3 linked regions of the Struthio camelus genome follow. The protein of the gene in region 3 interacts with the protein of the main gene of each other region in a biochemical or structural test. Links are inferred from orthologs where the notes say so. Each region holds a gene or a part of one and is shown on either strand. Other genes may lie near its edges. The genes, in order: ubiquitin-conjugating enzyme E2 E2, UBE2V2 and RNF8.

The links.
Region 1: the proteins of RNF8 (region 3) and ubiquitin-conjugating enzyme E2 E2 form a complex in vitro, tested with the Homo sapiens proteins (2 studies listed by BioGRID). The link is inferred for Struthio camelus from reciprocal best matches to the Homo sapiens genes RNF8 and UBE2E2.
Region 2: the proteins of RNF8 (region 3) and UBE2V2 form a complex in vitro, tested with the Homo sapiens proteins (2 studies listed by BioGRID). The link is inferred for Struthio camelus from reciprocal best matches to the Homo sapiens genes RNF8 and UBE2V2.

The regions. Positions count from the first base shown.
Region 1 is NC_090943.1:43,805,594-43,812,761, reverse strand, and holds the start of ubiquitin-conjugating enzyme E2 E2, read right to left. Parts: upstream 3,026-7,168; 5' UTR 2,662-3,025; intron 1-2,661.
Region 2 is NC_090943.1:140,987,075-140,994,296, reverse strand, and holds the start of UBE2V2 (ubiquitin-conjugating enzyme E2 variant 2), read left to right. Parts: upstream 1-4,118; 5' UTR 4,119-4,237; coding exon 4,238-4,334; intron 4,335-7,222. UniProt on the Homo sapiens protein: Has no ubiquitin ligase activity on its own. The UBE2V2/UBE2N heterodimer catalyzes the synthesis of non-canonical poly-ubiquitin chains that are linked through 'Lys-63'. This type of poly-ubiquitination does not lead to protein degradation by the proteasome.
Region 3 is NC_090944.1:104,607,485-104,615,069, forward strand, and holds the start of RNF8 (E3 ubiquitin-protein ligase RNF8), read left to right. Parts: upstream 1-4,503; 5' UTR 4,504-5,017; coding exon 5,018-5,107; intron 5,108-7,585. Other genes in the region: AARS2 (alanine--tRNA ligase, mitochondrial), read right to left, coding at 31-139, 452-597, 1,042-1,186, 1,732-1,926, 2,760-2,905, 3,592-3,780, 4,192-4,416. UniProt on the Homo sapiens protein: E3 ubiquitin-protein ligase that plays a key role in DNA damage signaling via 2 distinct roles: by mediating the 'Lys-63'-linked ubiquitination of histones H2A and H2AX and promoting the recruitment of DNA repair proteins at double-strand breaks (DSBs) sites, and by catalyzing 'Lys-48'-linked ubiquitination to remove target proteins from DNA damage sites.

The sequences.
Region 1 (7,168 bases), on a different chromosome or scaffold from region 3:
ATCATTGTCAACAGGGTTATGCTAAAAAGGATACTTTTAAAAAGGCCATAAGCTTTTTTGGTAGAGTTGCATGTAAGAAAACAAATTTACTCCTATCTTGTAAAAGCCTTACCAACATCTGATACTATCAAGTAGTATGCACTTTAGAGTGGAAGAATCAATCTTTTCAGGCATTATTCACATAACTCAATCCAATTGACTTAAGCAGGAATTAAATCTTTCCTGTCTAATTTATGAGGCTACACAGAAAGGAAAGGAAAATCTGGAAGTATGAAATGCATTCAAAATAGTTAAAAGGTTAAAAAAAATAGCAAGTGATGGATGTGGGACTAGGTTATTCTTAATCAACTTACGCTACATTTTGAGGTTCATAAAAGCAGTGTTTTATAAATATATATTCATATATAAATACATGCAAAAGCACAACACCTAGGCTGCTGCATGAACTGAAATAATATATCGTTTGATTTCTAAAATTAAAATATAAAAATTGTTCATTATTAGCAGAACAATTTTCCCTGCAATATAGATACAATATCATATTCACCGTTATTCACATATTTGCACAGGTTAATCTTTAGATATTTATAACCTGGCTGTCAAATGTTATGATGAAAGAAAAAAAAGACTTAGAGACAATAAAAGACAAGAGTAGCATACTTTGATAAGTCATAATATGAATTTAATAACTGTAATGAAAATTGGAAAGCAGGGACCCGCTTCATTTGCTTCTATATGCAGCTAAAATACAAACTGATTGTTTTTATCATGTTTCTGATGGCCTTTATTTACTCTAGATTCTATTTCTGATCTTTGATTAGTGCATCTAATTTTAAACACAAAATTATCTTCACAATGTACCTATCATTTAGCGCTACTGGTCAGAAAGTCAAAAGCGTATTTAATGAAGCCTATATACATAGACATCTGCTGTGAATAATCTTGGCTATAAATATTACTATTATCCAAAAACAACTGTATTCACTTCATAAGTTCAGGTTGCTATCCAGCAGATAAACACTGTAACAGTAGCCCAGAGCATATAATTACTGTAACATGTAATGCCAGCATTTACAACAGGAAAACGCTTAAATCTGTCATTTGACGTCTGGCTAGTTTCTTATTCTTTCTCTCTCACAGCTCTGTGTCTCTCTCTCTCTCCCCATCTCTCTCTGTTCGCCTTTCTGACATCCAGAGACAATTATTTCCATGCCCTCCGCTCCTAATGCCTGCAATTTTAGAAATTTTGCATAGTTAAAGGGATGTTCAATACTGTGAAAAAAGTGTATTTTAACAGCCCTGAAGTCAGACACTTCAGATGTGGCCAAACTTAGAAAACAAGCACATGAACAAATAAAAGAATGGAAAAGAAAAATCAGCTGGGGAATGACACTGTAGGAAAACATTTCCGTGCAATCAGGACAGACAAATGCAAGATATTTCTTGAATCTAGACAGCCGTAAGTGTGTTTGCAACAGTCACACAGAGTAAAAAGAGAAACACGATGTCCAGTTCCCTCGGCTGCCAGACTATTCTACATGTGGAATAGGACAAGGGTTTTTAACCTTCCTGCTGTTGTGCTGAGAAAATTGTGTGTGGTGGGGGGGGAAGGACTTAAAAGTCCTTCCCTTAACATGAGATGATTCAGCATCGACAGAGACTACAACTGTTAAGTACAACTATAAATTCTAAGTGAAGCACGTCCAGAAGACCCTGCTTCTGTCGTATATATCCACTGGCACCTTCCCCTCCCTTCTCAAGAGGAAAAAAAAAAAAAAATCCAGCAGTCAGGGAAAGAGAGATCCTGGCAGCGCGCAGATGGGTCCCAAGGGCAGCAGAGCTAGTGATGATGCCCTTCTAAAGCGGTCTTAATTTCCTATAAGCAAAGATAAATTGAATATTTCTGCAGGGGTCCATGAAGAGACAGGAGCAGCCGCCTTACTTCGTCTTCATTAGAAACCGTAAAGGGCAAGAGGATCACAACACTACAGGGCAGAGAGGGGAGCCCGCTCGCTGCCCGGCCCGGGGCGGCGGGGGCACCGCGGCGGCTGACACGGCCCCGCACACGCACACTCACACGCGCGCACACACACACACACACACACACGCACAACACACGCACAACTCGCCTATTTTCCTCCTGCCCGGAGGGGGAGGGGGCGGCGCATGTCACGGAGACACAATGTGCAGTAACTATGCAGTCCTGGAGGACGGCGTGAGACGGCCACGGGCACTTCCCAAACCTGACACCCGCCCCCGCCGCCCCGCTCCTCCGTGGGGGGGGGGGGGGGAGGGTGCCGCGCGGGGGGAGGAGGAGGAGGAAGAGGAGGCCGCGAGAGGAAGGCGGGGGGGATGTCCGGGGGGGGGGGTGCCCCGGCCCGGGTTGCGGAGCGGGGCCGGGGCGGGGGGAACAGGGGGCCGCTGGCAGACGGGGCAAGTAGCGGGGCCGGCGGAGTTGTGCCTGGGGTGGGGGGGGGGGAATGGCGGCAGCAGGGGAGGGGCGGCGGGGAGATGCTGGGGGGGGGACAGGGGGTGACATGGGGGGGGGTGAGGGCAGAGGTAGGCACCGTGGGAGCGGGCAGGGCCCTGGCGTGGGGGAGGGGAGGCGGACGGGACCGGGATTTGGGTTGGGGGGGGGGGAGCAGGAGGGGTCGCCGCTACCTGCGGGCGAGCGCGGGTCTGCGGCGGCGCCGGGCTCAGGCTGCGGGGCGATGCGAGGCGGGCGCCCCGCGTCCGGCCGGGCGGGGGGCTGCAGGGGGGCTGCGGCCGGTCACTGAGTCATGAGCCCGCTGCGCTCGCCCTTTCTTTCTTTCTTTCTTTCCTTCCTTCTTTCTTTTCTTCTTTCTTCCTTTAATCCCGCCGCCTCTTCCCTCGCTCCCTCAGCAGCAGCGGCGGCCACTGCTGCTGCTGCTCCCACCGCCGCTCCTACCCCTGCTGCCCGGAGAGAAGTGAAGCCGCTGCCGCGCGCGCGCGCGCTCGCGCCGCCGCCGCCGCCTCCGCGCGCGCGCGCGCACTCGCGCGCGCCGCCGCCCGGCTAGCTCCGCGCGCCCGCGCCTGGCAGCCAATTCGCCCCAGCGCTGGCGGTCCGAGGAGGGAGGGAGGGGCGTGCGCGCGCTTGCGGCGGCGGCGGCGGCGGGGGGGGGAGTGACAAGCGAGCGGGGCGGGCGCGTGCCCGCGGGGGCCGGCCGGGCGGGAGGGGGAGGGGGGAGGGCGCCGCCGGCGGGAGCGCGCGTTAAAGGGAAACGCGGGCGGGGCGGGCTAGAGCGGAGCCGGGCAGGGAGGAGGAGTGACAGGATGGGGGGGGGGGGGCGGCGGCCGTTGGCGAGGGGGGGCAGGTTAGCGCTTCTCCCCCCCCCCCCCAATTCCTGCCGCTGGCGTGCCCGCCGCCCCCGAGCAGCTCACGGAGTGAGCGTTAACGGGGTGCGGCGGGGGGGGAGGGGGGGGCAGGCCGTGAGCGGGGGCGGGGAGGCGGCGGCGCCGGCGGGGTTCACTTTCTTAGCTCTTCTTTTGCCCTTTTCGCGTTTCTTTGTTCCCTCGGCTTTCAGCCCCGCGGCTTTGCCTGCTGCGGTGCTGCCAGCCGGGCCCGTGCGGGAGCCCCGCACCACCGCGCTGCCTTTGTCCTCGCCCACCGCCCCCCCCCCCCCCCGGGCGGGGAAGGCCGGTGCCCGGCGGGGGGGGGGGGGGCAGGCGCGGCCGGCGGCCCCCCGGCCGGCAGGGGGGCACCCACGCGTGGCCGGGCAGGGCGCAGCAGCGGCGGCAGGGCCAGACCTGGTACTTTGTTGTCATAGTTAAGTGTTCGCCGTGGTCGTTTTGGCCGCGGATACGCGGCTGGGTGGTACAAACAGCCCGGGGCGGCTGAGAGCAGCCGATGACGTAAAGCATCCCGGCTGGAGATGGGTGCTGCAGCGTGGCTGCGCTCAGGTGAGCGCATCTGGCCTCCCACGCCGGGAGGGAGGCCTTGCCTTACGGAGTGGGAGAGGCCAAGGCAGAGCCACGCTTAGATGTTACCTATTCGGTATTAATGATATTAGCCTGGAACGAAACAAACCCCTGGCAGGGCTGGCTGTGAGGTAACCAGCTCTACCGCCCTAGCTGAAATGCTAGTTCTGCCTAAAACGCTGTACTGGCATTACTTCTTCAAGCTTCGCCTAACATGCAACTGATGCTTAGCTGGGCTGTGCAAATATATTAATTCAAACGTTTCTTCGGCCAGCAGGGAAATACACCCACCCTGGGTAAAGGAGTAATGGCAGGTCATAATGTTTTCCCCTTACTGATGACTGAAGGGAATTAAAAAAAAAATGCATTCATGCTATTCCACATGTACAAGGAAAAGTTTCTCCCCATGTGAGCTGTAAAGTACTGTACTTTTTCTGAGTTGCGGTTATGGTGTAGATGGAGTCCATACTGCTAAACACATGCAAATCAAGAACTTGAACCACTGCTGCGATATTTAAGGATTAGAAACACCATTGCCACCTCTCTCTCATATTATATCCAGACAACAGAAGTTACTTTTGCAGTTTCCATCTACATAAAATTAATCTTTCTCTTTGTTGAGTAATTGCTTTGAAATAACTTGTTTTATTGTGTCTTCCCATTTCCTTATTAAAGTAATCCTAGTCACGTTTTTCACATAGGCTTAAAAACACTGCAGTCGGCTAGTTCTTCCTATTTCACGTGCATTTACAAGATACCTTTTCCTCCTTCTTCTAATGAACTCATGAGGAAAAGCTCCTGATGCTCCAGCTAGGTGGGTTTCTAGCTGCTGGCATGCACTGATTCCTCACAAGGACTAATAACTAGGTAATTAAAAGAATATGATCCATAACAATCTTTTAACGAATGCAAATCTCCTGCAAGTGGTGCTTTGTTATCATGCTGAAGGGGTGCCGGCTGTGTTGCGCGCTCTTGGTATCACAGTCTCCTTTTCCAAAATCACTTAAATCATGCCTTTCTTTGAGGCATTCAGAAACAGACCTCCTGAAAACCATCCAGGAAGCTATGAAATTCACTTCTAAATGAGTCTTCCACCATACTTTCTTAACGTTGTTCTGATTGCTTAGAGGTGCCTTAAAGGAGGCATACGTTTTCCCATCAGAATATCTATCTATTGAAACTCCTTGGCCCGTGTCAGGACTCCGCTTTGGTGGCAGTTCCGTGTGCTTCGTTACAGTTCTTCCCTGCTAGAATCCACAGGAAGCAACAAGAGGGAAGCTCGGTGAATAGACTCCTTTAGAGAGGGATAGGACAGGGCCATAGCATGTCCCAGAATCTGGGTCATAAATTCCTGGTGCCAAAAAAATCAAGGGAGTGCTGAAGTGGAGCACCAAGTGGAGGGTTTGAATCATTGAGAGTCGGGCCCTGATTTTAATTTGGGTGCATAACCTCTGGCCCAAAACCCTAAATGGTACCTTACATTGAGGACAACTAAGCTAGGGAGAAAATTTGTACTGCCTTAATATTCGTACTGTATTTGTACTTAATAATTTTACTGCCTGAACTTGCACACTGAAGCGTGCCTTCTGATTTTTGAAGTGAAGGTCTTGAATGAGCCCTACCTATGTCGTGTAAAGGGAATAGGTCAGGGTAACCAACTGCTCCCAAGTATCAGTTTTATCCTGTCAGCCTTCTGAAATAGTATGTTTAGCCCTCAGATGTTAAAGGTTGCATGATAGTGTGTTACTCAAAATCTTTTTGAAGACTTTTGTTAAGTTTGCATCCCGTATGGTGAAATCCTGGCCCTTTTGAACTTAATGGAAATTTCAACCACGATGGGGTGCTAAGCCACACGTTACACTTTTTTAGAATACTGGACACCTCCGGAACAACTTGAGTTCTTTACTCTCATAAAAGCTTACAGCTTTCTCAGAGAGACACTCAGAGTTAAGATAACCTGGCGCAGGCTGCCACGCTTTATGACTGTTACAGTTAAGGACACTTCCGTTAAGGCCTCTTGGTTCAGCATGCCTGTTACAAGGACATATATGTCAATCAAAATCCATGAAGTTGGAGAAATCTGAGACAAGTTTCCATTTAAGAATGTTTAATTTAAAGATATATCGGATTAATTTAGGTTCCAGTCTTGGAGGTTTCTTCTGCATTTGCATTCATAACTTATCATCTGCTCACATGTAAAATGACACGTCCTTTTAATATTGCTATTTAAGTTTTTAAATGTGCATTGTGGTCAAGTTATAACTGATAACAATTTTGTATATACTTGACATACAAATTGAGGGGATTGGTTTTCTCAAGTAGAGAAAAGACCAGGAAGTATCTCGACTGTGATACAGCTGAAAGCGTTAACAGTAGCTCTCTTGTGATAGCATAATTCACTCTCAAAACTTAAGTATTTCATATTAAAGATTGAGATCAAAAATACTCAATTGTCTGTGGAGCACTCTGTTGTTCTATTCATCTCTTTCAGCCAAATCCTAATGAATCAGATCATTTCATCCCTTCGAGCTATTATCAGCAGAGGACTGGAGGAATGGGGACAAAGGTGTAAAGAACTACCTTATTCCACTTTTCAGCTCAGCAGGGGCTATCCTATCTTGTGTCACTCACCCCATTTCTTCCCTGCTGCTCAGTGTGTTTGATGATTCTTGGGCCCTATCATGCTGTTTTGAGAGCAGCCAATAGCCAGCTATAGCCCTCTCTTTTCCAGTCCTGTCCTCTATCCTGAGAAACTGAGGTGGGAAGGTAGAATAGCATGAATCTCTATAGGAGCTTTATGCTACTAAGGGATTCCTCTCCCATTATTGGCTTTCTTTACACTGCTGTGACAGTACAAAGCCATAAGGATAGTCCAGAGCCTGTATCTGGCCTGTACTGTATTCTCTTTTCCACCTCCCTGCTACTTTTCTTTCTCCTGTGTTCAGTTAGTTCATTCTCACATCATACCTAATTTGTCTTTTTTTCCTACAATCTTGCTTTGCTTTCGTTCCCACTTGGCTGAATCCCACTCTGTTTGTTGGCAAAGGTAAACTGCAATTCACAGAACCCTGCTCTCTGGAGCCCCAAGACACAGCGTTTGAGTGTTTCAGAGATCGAGATTCTTCTTGTTCATTTTGTTTTCCAGCTATCAGCATGTAGTATAAATGGAGTAGCAAGAACAGATTTTGGGAAGGTAGCTGTAGTAGAAATTTCATTAGATTTTTCAGTT
Region 2 (7,222 bases), on a different chromosome or scaffold from region 3:
GCAGCTGAGCTGCATCTGAAAAATAGAAAGTCTATGTTTCCAAGCAACTCTAGGTTTATGCTTGCAGCAAGCAATTATGACTGTTCAGAGAAATCTGGTTTTATTTTCCTAAAATAGATTTGTTCCTATTTATAACCCCTAGGTGGAAGAGAATCAGCCAAGTGACTTTACCCATTTCCACAATTCAGAACACAATAAATTTGACTGCATAATATAACCGTACTGTTCTTCCGTTTGAATGTTCCTGACCACTGAAATAGCCTCCTGGGGCAACGGAGTTCCGGGCCTAAGTTATACAAGGCACAGAAAAAGCTCCCTGACAAATGGAATGCTGCAAAAGGTATCTTTGCTTTAAACTAAAGTTCTGCACAGATCAGTTTGTTCACACCCCAAATGTAAAGCTGTTCTAACTACTAGAGAATTTTCTACAAGTATGTTCTTATCTCCCCGCTGGTTTTCTAGTTTTCCCCAAAACAGTAACAACTACCCCTGTCCTGCCCATGTTGTTGGTACTTTCGAGCTTCAAAATACTTCAGATTTAAAGAAGCGCTTCCTTAATTTAAAAAGGGAGCTAATTTTAATATATAATTTAAAGATAAATTAAACTAGCCAACAGAGAACACTTAGGCTTAAAGTGCAATAAAGGTAAAACTTTAAAATATAATTAAGCATATATAAAATTTTCCTATTTCAAAATTTACAACCAAAAAAAGCAAAATTTCAGTCAATTTACAGTCAAAAGCAAAATTTCAGAAAACAGAACTTTTGACTCTCCAAAACCTCTTACTGTTTTCTAACCTGCTCATAAAGTTTTTCCTTTGGAAGAGGAAAAAAAAAAAAAAAAGTCTTTTCATGTCATATTGATTAAATCAAATTAATCTTCTTAAGAAGGCGTAACAGGTAGAAAAATCAGTAATAGGAACATAGTCACCTGCTAAAACTAGGACACAAAAGGTCGGCCAACTCTAAAGGATGCCTCTCTTGAAAAATACGGAACTCATTTGGTAAAGGTTTCTGTAGAACACACAAAAAGGAAGGCACAGATGGCAAGTATTTCATATCCATACTGTACTCTGCATGCTTATTTAATTTTCTTAATAATGAGTACTGTTTTTTTGGGAGATAAAATAGTAGTTCACCTTATCTGGTAATAAAGTCACACATACACATGCAACCTACATATATGATACACATTTATGAAAATACGTATGTATAAACACAAAAAAAATCATGCCTATAATGAAACAGCACTGGCAGTGTCTTGGCTTCAACTCTGGAAGACAAGAGTCGGAGAACATTAAGAAGGGTCTCCAGTGTTTCCTGTTACTCGATGTTAAATGGTTAGTCTTCTCTCTTTGAAAGTGGCATCAAAAAAAAAAAAAAGGAGTAACTTTAGTTTACTTTATTTCTAATTTATGGTTGTGTGAAATCAGGAGACATAATGAGATCTACTTAGATAGTACTGGAACATAAAGATTTGTTGGCCTAACGTGACTGACATATATACTCTGATCTCCCCAAGAATCAAATACCAACATGCTTTAATGTTTTCCACCCTCTCACATCCTCACTCTATCTCGTCATTTAACTTGGAGGATCCAAGCTATATCCAACATACTTACATTTGCCCAAATAGCTGCTGATTCAGTGTGTCTGCAACTGTTGTAATCAGTGCTCAGCTGACAACCTTCATCAGTGGGTCAGAAAACAAACCTGAAAAGGATAGAAAGAAGTAGCAGCCGGTAACAGAAGACAAACAGTTGAATTTGCTAAAATCCTATGAAAAGCGATCTCGGAGGACTGTATTTCTCTTTCCTGAAAAGAAAGGCAGGGGAACTTGACTGAATCCTTCAGAAGCCTTGTAATAGTTTGGCATTTTTATTTGCTTTGATTCTAGGGAGAAAAAAAAAAAAAGAAGACAAGAATTGTGAACTTTTAATTAATCTTGCAAATACAGTACACCATTGCTTCTCCGAAGGAAAGAGTCTCTTGAACTACATTTATTAAATAACTCTGAGAAGAAAAAAAAAAACCTCTTTTATAGTCTCCTTCTTGATTTGCCTGACGTTCCTTAAGATATACAGATCGCACCGGCACGTAGGGCTCCCTCAACTCTCTCAAGATCTGCTCCAAGAACTTGGTGATTTCAGAAAGCACAATAACTAAATCCTAGTCTTTGCAGGACGTACAGGTTATTACCCAAATATGAATGTCTCCTTTTTTATAACTAGGATTATATTTGCACTCATGAAATAAACCGGTCAATATCAATGTTTAAAAGATTTTACTGAGCCAAATATTTAAGAAACATATCCTAAGTTGTCCTCTGCTTAGGTATAGTTCTTGGTGTGTCATAACATAATTCAAAAAGAACGCCTTTGGGAGCGCTCAGCAGACATTAAGTCAGTTCTTAGCTACAACCAGAACTCAAAGAATCAGAGACAGTGAAGGTTTATCAGGCAATATTAGGCTGTATTATCTTTTCATGAAAGTTATTCTTCCTTCCCAGTGCTGTATAAAAGCTTTCCATTTAACGTAGGTCACACTTAAGTTTACTTTGCTGGCACCAGGACAGACACTGGACTAGTCTGCACTGGAACATGGGTGGTGACACTCACTCTTTAGTAAAATACTAGAATGCATAGCAGGAGGAATGTCCCTAAGCCTGTGCCTGTCTTTCAGACAGGTAGAGGCCAACCACAGCTCCTGTTTGTGTTCAACTTAATCACAAACACAGCAGGAAATACTCAGCTATTCAGGCAGCACTGTCTGTCTATAAAACTACCCAGTGACGTCTCCAAAGAAAAAGTGATAGGCTGGATTTTAACTACATTTTATATCTTTTTAATATACAAAACCAAGTCTCACAGATTATCAAGCTTAACTGTCTTTTGCCACGTTCCCATGAGACAAAGATTCTGCCTGTGCCTCACTCTCACTATACAAAAACACAACAGAATCGGAGGGAAGGCTGCACACTGAGACTTATAATTTCTGCACGACCTATTTCTGAACCAGATGTACTTAGTGAGCCATCTCTGAACATGCAAATTGGAACTGCAGGCCTCACTCTGAGCCTAATGGCCTAATCTTCTGTGAAGTGCATCAATGAGAGAAGGAAAAAAATCCTTATTAGGATTCCTGCACCTTGAGCTCTCTCCCATGGATTTTACTACATAACAAAACTACGTAGTCACCAGTAAATGATAATTTCTCCAGTATAATTAAGTAGTTTTGAGAATAATAATCCCACCCTTCCCCCAAAAAAGGGAGAGAAAGAGACCAGAAGAACTGGTTATACAGAATGATTTGAAAAATAGGCTTGGCTGCAGCATTCAGAGACTTAGGGTATAAGAACTCACTGACATTCAGTGCATACTTAGCATCTACTTCCTTAGGCCTACTTGAAAAACCTAGCCCTTGTCTCCACTGACTACATACACCACTGTACTACAAGGTTATTCTAGAGTTTAAGCAGGGAAACATCCCTGCCAGTATGAGAGCTGCATTCACTGATGAAGCTACTTTACTTAAGAGTGCACTCAACACACAGGTAGAGCAGAAAAACATCATAGCCAGACTGAATTAAAAACTTAAGTAAGCTTAAATTAGCACCTACTTCAGCAAGTTCTTCAGCTGGAGTTGTTCTCGATTCCATCCTTCCAGCTGTTTCCTGGATGCAGCGCTACATTCTGAACGCACTCTGAACAACATCAGGAAGGAAAACAACAGCTATTAAGCTTTTACAAAGAAAGACTGGTGTCTCAAGCAGGGGTTAGAAGCGCTGGGAGTTGAGGCCTGACTCATACCAGTACTGTAGTAGCAGTAAGTGCTACATATGGACCCCCACAACCATCCCCTCTCCCGAGCAGCACCCCCAGCCAGAGCTCTGAACGGATCCATCTGAGCCTTCACCCCTAAAGCAAGCACCCCCAAAACCTCGAAAAGCTAGGCTGTGTGAAACCGCCAACTGGAACAAACATCACGAAGAGGAAACCTCTCAGCAAGAAGCTGTGGAAGGACTGCAAACTAACCTGCTCCGCCAGCTCCGTCTTCGCGGAGCCCAACCCCGCTTTGCTTCGAGCCACCAGCCCCCGCCCCCTCCCAGGACAGCCGTTGCCCTTCCTTGCCGGGCTCCCGCCCCGCCCCCCGCTGTGCTAGAAGCTTCTCCGGCCGCGCATGCGCCCCCGCCCCCTAACGGCCGCGCCGCTCCGCCCTCCACACGGTGCGGCCCCAAATGGCCTTCTGCGCAGCGCCCGCTGTAACGTGGGGCTATGAGCCAGTCACGCAGGGAGGCGGTTTCCCGGTCCTTGGTACGAGCTGCGGGATGGGGGGTAAGTCTTCGAAGCAAACCTCGCGTGTACAATACGGCTTCACAAGGCCCAGTTGTGATGTTCCTGCCTCAGCAGCCCAGTGTGAAAAGTTACCTACTGTACCTTTTGGAGGGTGCGGAAGGCAACGTTGGAAAAAGCAGATTTTGTTCTGGGTTTCCCAAACGTGATGGCTTTGAATGGAAAATAGTAGCAGCTCAGCATATGCCTTTAGCTAAACCTGCAAATATTTTTGAAATGTAAGTTCATGCTTGTGTTCATGTCTGCACGTTTTGTTAGCACTGCTCTGAGGATGGAGGTTGCAAAAAGTAACGTATAAATACAAACATAGAGCCGTGTTTAAGGAGGGCAGATCTCTGATCTCACAGACACGTTTCTGATAGTTCATAGCATTTGAGAGCCTGAAATAACTTCAATTTACAATATACTTTTGTTTTTTGGCTAAAGAGATTACAAAACTTTAAGTTTGTTTGTGAAAACTTGTGTTATTCTAACAAAAAAGCTTGCGCTCTGAGCCTTCAGCATTGTATTGCCAGATTAACTACGTTAGCTGTGTAGCCGGAAAGGCAGTTTTACTAGAGGATGGGAAAATCCACCTTCGATCTCTTTAGCTAGAAGGGCTGGTGAAACTGATCTAGCTCCCTGTTCTCTTCTCACTCCCTTACTGCCTCTGAAAGTTTTGGGGTTCTCCATCTCCAGAACACTTGTAATTCTGTTATATTTACATGTTACTGAATCTCCCCACCCCCTAAAAAAATATTTAAAAAAAAAAAAAAAGGAAGATAGAGAATCAAAACCTTACCCTCAGCAAAAGCTGAGCAGATTTTCTGGTGGCAAAAGCTAGTGGTTTTTGGTAGCTCATGAGTATTCCTTTTGCTAAATATCGTGCTAGTACGATGACAACTATTTCAGTTTCTCAGAGGGATAACAGGTTGTGAGAATACATCAATGATATTAGACAGCCTTAAACAAAATCAGTGCAGACTTTGAATTTATTACCAGTTAATTACGATCATAGCAGCATTTGAATTTGTAGGAGCCGTCTCTAAGATAAGCCACCTGTGCTTAGATAAAGACAAAAAAATTGTCTTTCTTTATGCTAGAATAATAATACCCAACCAGGAAGTTATTCAGGATTGCCTATTCTAAATATACCTTTTGTCATCCCTGCTTAAAAAGGTTGGCCTCTGCCGTGGAGTAAGTAATGTTTGTTAGCTACCTCACTCCAAGCTTCTACAGATAATTAGAGCAGTGAACATGTAGCTGAATTTACCTAAATAACATCACATGAAAAACGCATGTGCCCTCCTTCCCTAGGATTTTATATTGTACTTGCTATTACGAACTCATTGCTTGCTCTAAGAAAGCTTCCCACAGAAGAAAATATGGTTGCTGTTTTTGTAGCCTTTGCAGAGTAATTTCCTCATAACTGTTCGAAGACTTCACCTTCAGGTTGACTTTTTTTTTTTTCATTGAAGTCTAAACACTCTGACAGTTATGTGAAGCTGACAGTGCCTTCCGATGGCCTACTCGAGCTTTATGTGTTCGTAACAGTTGGTCAATTGTTTTAATTAACTTTGAGAACTAGGATTTTGTGGTACAGAAAGCTATTATGTTTTGCCCGTAGTGTTTTCAGCGGAGAAAATATGCTGAATCTTGTGTGCATGCTCTAGCAGCTGCCATGGAAAAATGAATTATTTATTATTGCAGAGATCCCTCTTCACTTCACAAGTGCTACAAATACATCACTTTTATGTTGTTTTTAACCTTTAAAGCATTCTACAAATTATTAGTAAACTACATTACAAACATTCACTCCCCCCAAAAACAAGAATTGTATTTAACTTTGGCAGACTTGGTTTTAGTATTTTTAGAAATTCATCTAACGTAACTTAGATTTAGATGGCCATAAATCCCCAACAGCTTTATCCTTGCTTCTTATTCTCACTTGGACCCTTCAAGCCTTTAGAGAGCTAACAACTAACTCCATTCTTTTTTCTGAGTACTATAGTTAGAGAGCTAACAACTACCTTCTTTTTTCTGAGTGCTATATTCTTTCTTCTCACATTTTCTGGTGGCTGGCTGTTGCAGGCACCACCAGGAGATCTGTGGCAAATCAACAGTAAGGTATATCAAACATCATGTGAACGTTCCCATACAGAATAAAGACAGTAGATTAAGCTCTGCCTGCTTTATGTTACCACCTGTCAAAGAAGCCACCTCCAGAAACATTTGATCGATCACGTGTCCGTACTAACGTGGTTAAACCATCAGATTCAATGTCACCAGAAGCGAGTAAGTCGACACGAAAACGAGCCAGGGCAGTTATAAAGCAGTCAGATGGCAGTTCTGCTTCACATTCTGAGTTGATTTTCCCCTTAGCCTTCCTTTATGGATGAGTAATACCTTCCATTCTGCAGTCATGTTTTTGTGAAATGAGAAGTAACTCAGCAAACATTCATGGTCTGGTGTAGGGCTACCACGGCACAACAATAGCCTCTGCCTCTCTGTAAATGGAAGAGCGTAAGCTTAAGCAACAGTGAGAATGCCACTATGTGGTGGATTAAAGTATGTATATTTTGGCTGTAAGTGCAACTATACATTCGGCCTACAGAGAAGAGCACGAGTTCCCGCTGCCGTGTCAAATCAGGCAAAGTCTTCACATGCCTCAGAGAAGCTGAGTCCCAGTTCTCTTGTTGAGTATGTCATTTTATATACAGTAGGAAGCTTATGTTTCAAAGATACTATCTGAGAGACTTCCGTAGTTGATAAAGATGGGGAGGTGCAGAGTGAGCAGACAAAGTCAACTTCTGGGTTTGGTTGAGTTCTAAATATGCTGGATTAATCAACTACGTTCACGTGCAAGTTGTTAGGAAACGCCAGCGTGTGGT
Region 3 (7,585 bases):
TTCTTCCCTAAGGCAGCAACTCTTACTCACCAACACTTCCACTACAGTAGGAACCAGGGAGGCCAGGAGCCCAGGTGGGGCATGGAGGACTTCAGAGCAAAAGCGGACAGCCCTGCGCAGGATCCGACGCAGCACCAGTCTGAAAGCAGGGCACGATTTCCTAGATAGCCCTGTGAGCATCCCTGCCCTGCCCCCACATCCAGCACACCCCACACGCAACTCCTCTCTGGCCTGATCTATCCATATAGGCCAGCTGCACCCCACTCTTCACATCTATCTGGGGATGACCCTGCTGATCTTAAATGCCTCCAGGCCCTCTCCTTCGTGTTTCTACACAGCTCACCCACTCCCTGTCTTTGACCCCTTCCACAACCTCTCCCCTAGGGCTGCTCATATTCCCTTTCCTTTCCGGAAACTCCATCCACCCTGTGCCATTTCTGCATGTCCTTACTCTGCTCCAGACAGGCCTGGGTAGATGCCGTCAGTGATGCACACGCACAAGGTACGCACATGATCTGCCACCACGCGGTAGGCCATATTCACACCCCCAACGTCAGCCTTCCCGACCAGACCTTGGTATCTGGGCCCCCCACAGCCCTAGAAGAGAAAGTAAGGAGACAGATTAGCAGCTGTGAATAGCTGTAGAAAAAAAAAGTTGCAAGGTAAGACAGCCAGCTACACACTTGACTTCATGCTTGTCAACTGCCTCTGCAGCCTACGATGCAAGATGTACTCATAAAACCTTCTGAGAAAATTATAGGCTTGTGTGCCTAAGAGATGTCAACCAATGCCCTGGCCCTGAGGTATTTAACAGACCCTTGGAGAAACACGGATCAGTAGAGCTGTTATCCCAGTGGATTCCCAATCTGGAATTTTCCCCAGCTTCTCTAGAATGCTGCTGTGGGCCTAGCTACACATACCTCCTGTCTTAAAATACTGCATAGTAATGTGTGTGGAGAAGGCTGTGTTATGGTACCAGTCAAGCAGTCTGCATTCATGGGGCTTTGGCTTAGCTGCGGCTCTGAACAGGAGCATCATCACCTTGTGAATGGCATCCAGGATGGGAGTGAAGAGATCTGTGTCATAGTTGGAGCGCTTGTTCTGCAGAACTGTCACCAGCCTTTCCAAACCCATTCCTGTATCCACATGGTGCTGGGGCAAGGGAAGTAAATTCCCCTCCACCTCTCTGTGAGCATGCCAGAAAAAAAAAAAAAAAGGCAAAAGAGAAGCAGGGGTCAGTCCAGGGCCAAGGAACAGGAGTGGACGAGTCATAGGGGATGGGAGAGTGACAGCAGGTGGAAATAGCACTGGGGCAGGTGACTCAAAAGAAGAAATCTCAGGGAGAGGACTAACAGCAGCCGGAGGTGGCACTGCTGGGCAGCCATGCTCTGACCATTGGATAGTCAGAACATGGTGTAGGGAAAAAGGCCTGCCCTGAACAGGGGCCTAAGCCCTTCTCCTCCTCCTAGCAGTTATTTTCTGTGCTGCTGCAGACCTAAAGGAACATCTGGGATGAAGCAGTGAGGGAAAAGAGGCAGCACAGGCTGAGGAAGGACAGGAGAAGCATGGCAAAGGGGGCCTATGGGCCACAATGAAAACACATTTCCACTGCTTCCCCTTGATCCTGTACCGCCACCTCCTGGAAAGCAGTGAGAAGTCTGAAAAATTGACTAGGGTTTGGATGTCAGAGGAGAGGGAAAGGCTCCGAGATCTGGACTGGATGCCTAGTACCTGCTATACTGCATAAAGACCAGGTTCCAGATCTCCACTACATCAGGGCTGCCCTGGTTCACCAGTGCTGCAGCGTTTCGGCCACCACCCACGTGGTCATAGTGGATCTCTGTGCAGGGACCACAGGGACCTGTGTCCCCCATCTCCCAGAAGTTGTCCTTCAATGGGAAAGGAAGCACATGGCTGGCAGGCACCCTGGAAAGGCAAACAACAGGGATGGCAGGACTGGGGCACACACACAAAATACAGATTAGCCTAGATCACAGAGAAAGTTGGAGGCAGGATCCCTTCTGACTACTACAAACTCAGAATGTGAACACATTAAGGTTCATTTGCTTCTGTTCACACGGAATTAACCTCCTTAGCAGGGGTAAGCTGGACCAAAGCAGACAGATCCTACTCACTACTCAGCATGGCTAGCAAGCTCAGTCTGGCCCCTGCTGATCGATGGCCAGCTCTCTGTTGGGTCTTCTGTTGGGTCTTTTCTCCCTGGAGGTTAGCTGAGCTAAGATCTGATCAGGACAAACAAAGCTGGACACCAAACATGGCACAGAGTTATCAGCCTTCAGCCCAAAGTCTGCATACAGCCTGGAACAAGCTCCCAAAGTACATCAGGGCTTCATCCTCAGGTTGAGGGGGCCATTGCTAGCTTTTTGAGGACAATGCGATCTCCGCAGCTCGTGACGGAGAGGAAGCAAAGGATCACACAAAGAAAAGAAGGATAGTGGGAGTAGCATTACCGCACATGGAACAGAAATCACCACGTCACTTCATCCCGGTCAGACAACCTTCGGTTCACAGCCCTTCTAGACTGACTGCATCTGAACAACAGCTTAAAGATGAAGTCCCCCAGAGTGCTCCGAGTTTTGGGACTTTTAGCAGTCCCAAAAAAGCAGAAACCAAATGATTTCAAAGCCCAGTTTTTGGCTCCTACATCTGAATCCCATGAATTAAAGAGCAAATGAGAGACTATGGAGACTGAAACGTCAGTACTTGCTGCTCTGAACTTCTTCTCCAACACAACTTACCCCAGGCAGAGCCATATGTCCCTACACTCCTCGTCTGCGCTCAGCCCCAGCGAAGAGTCTCCACCAAAATAGGTGACGTACAGACGATCTTTGGGAATCTTGTAGACTTCTGTCAAGAGCTCCCAGGCCATACTACATGCCTCCTCCTGAGCAGGCAGGGAACACCGAGGAAGTACAGTAATCCAGGGCATGAAGGGAGACAAGAAGGTTCTTTAGAATGGGAGTCAAACACCAAAGAGGCTAATTTCAGTTGTTCTGTCCCTCTGCAGTCTTAAGACATATGTCAGTGAGTATGATGGGGGTCAGGCCAATTATAGACAGTTCTTCAAATAGCTGTGGGAAACTGTGGCCTTCCTAAATCCTTGGGAGACCTTCAGGATCACAGCATGGTCTACACTGACCTGCTTACCCGCACAGTCACATGGATTATTTTCTTTCCTAGGAAGAAATGCATATACTAGAAAAACAATTAGCATTCTTTATCCTTCTCCCTTTTCGAACTTTCCAGTAACAAGCACAAAATGAAACAGGAACCTTTTTTCACCCATATTACATGGTCAACACTGGCACTCACACAGGGCGCTTTGGTTTGTATATGCGGTTGGCAGCTTTGCAAAGGCTGGGCACTTTCAGAGAAATGAGTTCTCTGCCGGGCACATTTAGTGATTCAGCACGCTGACTACCTCTGCTGCAAGCCACAGAGCTTCCAGCAAGGAATTCAGAGCTCGCCAAAGCCTCGTGCAAATACCTTTATGGTGCTACAAGACAGATCTGATGCTATAAAAGAAAAGCTGTATCTCCCCCTGGAGAGGGCTGACTCTCATTGCCTCACCTTAAAGTAATCTCCAAAGGACCAGTTCCCCAGCATCTCAAAGAAGGTGTGATGGTAAGTATCTCGGCCCACATCCTCCAAGTCATTGTGCTTCCCTCCAGCGCGCACGCACTTCTGGCTGTTCACCACCCGCTTGTACTGTGCTAGCTCGCTCCGGGGATGCACCGTGCCCAGGAAAATGGGCTTAAACTAGAAATCAAGGCAGAGAGACATCTCCTGTTGCTAGACACCGTCCAGCATAGCAGGCTTATGACTGTAGCTCCAGAAATACAGATAGGGAGCTACAAGCAGAAGATATGCACATGGAGATGGGAGAGTCGTGAGGTGACAAGGAGGTACAGGAGCCGATCAGGCCACAGGCTTTCCTGTGAAAAAGGCTTTCCTGCTACAGATAAACCGCCTTCCTCTGAGGAAGAGGAGTTCCCGGGAAGCCCGCCCACGGCGGCCTGCAGGCAGGGGCCCCAGGCAGAGCACAGCCGAAGCCCTCGGCTCCCGGTCGGCCGCAGGCCCCGGGCCGAGCCCCGACAGTGCGGAGAGCCGGGGGAGGGGGCGGCGGGGCGCATCGCCCCTCGCAACCGGTCCGCGGGGCGGGGGGAGCACCTGGTTCATGCCCGCGTTGACGAAGAGGAGGCGCGGGTCCCCCCGAGGCCGCACGGGGGCCGAGGGCAGGCGGCGGTGGCCGTGGCGCTCCTGGAAGAAGCGGAGGAAGGCGGCGCGGACCTGCCCCGCCGCCGGCCCGCCGGTGCCCCAGCGGCGGGGGCCGCAGCCCCAGCGCCACGGCACGGCCGGCAGCAGGCGGCGCCGCAGCCGCCCGGCCGCCGCCATCTTGGCCGAGGGCGGAAGGCGGGCGAGGGCGCCTTCGGGAAGGGCAGCGAGAAGAGCGGGAGGAGCCAGGAGAGGGCGCGTGGCAGGGGCCGATGGGATCGAGGAGGGCCGCGGCTGGGCCCGGCAGCGCAGGGCGGGGCGGGGGTGGCTTCCCGCCTCCGTTCAGGGTGTGTGCACTGGGAGCGGCCGGGACGGCCGCCAGCCCGCCGCCCGGGCCTCCAAATCCCCCGACTGTGGCGGGCGGGCGGACCTCGGCCGGCCGGCCTGCCCGTCAGCACCCCGCTCCTAAGCCCGTGGGGCGCCCTGCGAGAAGATGCGCACCACAATGGCGCCGCTCCTCCCGCCCCGCAAATCCCCCAGGCAACGCCGCCCGTACGCCGCCGCCCCCCACCGGGCGCATGCGCAGCCCCCCCAACCCCCTCCGCGCTCCAGGCTCGATTAGCCGGGCTGCGGGGCGGTGCGCCGCCGCTATGGCTCTGCGGCGGCTCTGCCCTCGCGAGAGCGCCGCGGCCGGGAGCGGGTAGGCGGTGCCGCCGCCGCCGCCGCCGCCGCCTCAGCAGCGATTGCTTCTGCCTGTCGCAGCGGCGGGAGGGCGGGCGCCATGGCGGCGCGCGGGGCCTCGGGCTTGGCCTGGTGCCTCCGCCGGGTGGGGGCGAGCGGCGACTGGCTCCTGCTGGAGGCCGGCACCGAGGTGAGTTGGGGGGCCGGGCCGCCGCTGGGCCCCGCCGCGGGGCCCCCCCCGGGTGAAAGCCGCGGGGGCGGCCCGGCGCCCGAGGCACGGCCCTCGCCAGCCGGGGTGAGGCGGGGGGAGCGGCCCGCCTCTCGCTGAGCCCCGGCTGGGGGGCGGGCGGGTGACTGTGGGAGTGTGCTGTTTTGAGAGCCTGTTTACTCGCTAATGCGCTTTCCAGAAAAAAAAAAAAAAAAGCTATCTAGGCTAATGAGCGGCAGTTGTTAATTATTATTCAGAAGAGCCGGTCATTAATCCCAGTTTATAAATTATTTCCCCTAAAGCAGTCTTGGTGAAGCGTTGCTCGGTATTTCTGCGCTTTCTTAAAGACCGATCTCCCCCCGATTACAACCAGTTTATTTCAACGCCAGTAACTTGCAAGGGAGCAGAAAGCGGGGTGCTGCTTTTGAGATCAGAGGTTTAAACTTAATGTGCTATGTCTTCAGACGTTAACTTTTTTAACGTGATGTCATGTTTAAGCAGAAGTTGTTTGTGTGATAATGGTAACGTAAGAAAAAAAAAATCCTTAGCCTAATTAATACCGTGATGCTCTGGCGAGGTTAGCAATATGTGACATATTTAGTTTTAGTGGCTAAAGTTATTCAAGTGTAAACACAGCCAGTATTTTCAGCCATTTCAGTTATGTTTCAGAATGGCATAGGTATAAGCTTTTCTTCTGTTATCATTTTTTTTTAGTTAAAAAGCCAAAACAGATCTTTTTACTCTTGAAGTGAGATGACAAATTACCGTATTGAAGATACGGTGCTACAAGAGGATTGCAGTTTTTATGGTCAAAAGCAGGCAGTTAAATGTTGTGGGTTCACACTGTAGTTAATTCCTTTGTGCTTATGCCTTGCACAAGGTACCCTTGCTAATTCATCTTTAAACGCTAGGCAGATCTTTAGGCAGATGTACGATGTGTTACTTTCACTCATGGATTTGAAGCCAGCAGGGGTGTAAGTGTGCTCAGCTAAGGAACTGAGTAGTGGAGTTGCAAAACTTGCAATAAGGGCTCTGGTAATTGGATGGAGAATCTTGTTTACGTGTTTTTACCCTAGTTATTGGCATACTGTTACCCTCCCTCTCACAAGCAACGGAGTAAATGTGTGGCTGGTGCTTAAGGCTTACCAGCTTACAGTCTGGCACGTTGGCTCCAAGTGCTGTCACTGGGGCTTTAAATGGTGGTGTCAAACTGTATTGCTGATAGGTATGGGGGTGCGTTATGTTGTGGCAGTGATGAACTCTAGCAGGCAAGCGGTAACGTCTGAAACCCCACGGCTGTTGCTCTTTGCTCAACGAACGTTAGCGAGGGGAAGTTTTATGATTGGCTCTACGCAGTCTTGGTTGTATTGGCACTCTAGGCCACAAGACGTGCATGACCGAGAACTAATAATAGTTGATGTGGCTTAGGCATTTCTGCACAGACAAAAGCAAAGTTGTGTGTATAACTGAATCCACCTGAAGTTCTTGCTGATATGGAGGGAGCTGTATGGGGCAGACAGGAAGGTGGTGGTAGAGAATCATCTTCATTTTGAGAATCATCTTCATCTTGCAGAAGCAACCCATGTTGACAGAACATTAAGAGATGTGAAGCATTTAAGAGGTAGGGAATTCTGTGGTTCAGTTTGCTTTCCTGATCTTAGTTAGCTTCCTTGCATTTAGTTACGATGTGGGAGTTTGAGCCCTTGCTTTCAACTTGAAGGATGGGACTGTTTCACGTAACATGTAGTAAATTAATTTTCCTTGGCTGCAGGATCTTGCCCTCTTCTTGTAGGAATTGGAAGGTGTGATGCAAAAGAGTTGGAATTGCAGGGGGAAAAAGGGGGCAGTTTTCATCTAAGACATACAGACTAGGTTGTATTTTTATAATATGCCTAGTCTGATTTTACTGTGGGCTTCTGCTAAATGGTGTATTGTCCTGCTCTTTCTGGCTGCACGTTCTTGTATCTATTGCATTGGATTCATGCAGTTGTCTAATTACATGGTAAACTGGCTGAAAACTTGTCCTTTCTAAAAGAAATTACTTCCCTGCAACACACAAATGAATAAGAAATGTCTGCGACTATCAGATCACGTGAGGAGGCAGTGGAGAGAGGGAGAGCAAAGCCATGCTTTAAATGGCAGCCTGCAATTAGATCATATTTTTTGATAAAGTATTGTGAAGTAGTACCATTACAAATTCTGTCCATTCTTCTTCCGGAAGGTACTGTGAGATTCTAATCAGATTATTGAGATCACCTTCACTAGTGGTTATGAATGGCATGTAGCTTAGTTTCTGAGCCCTAATGTTGATGGTGTGATTTACAGAAGTATTGCATGCTTAGGGCATGGTTACATTCACGCTTTTGGGTAGCAGTTTTCTAGGCTGTACTGTTTACAACAGTTGAACAGATGCAGCTAGTCAAAGAAAAGAGTAAGAAGTAATCTTGATCAGTTTGTTGC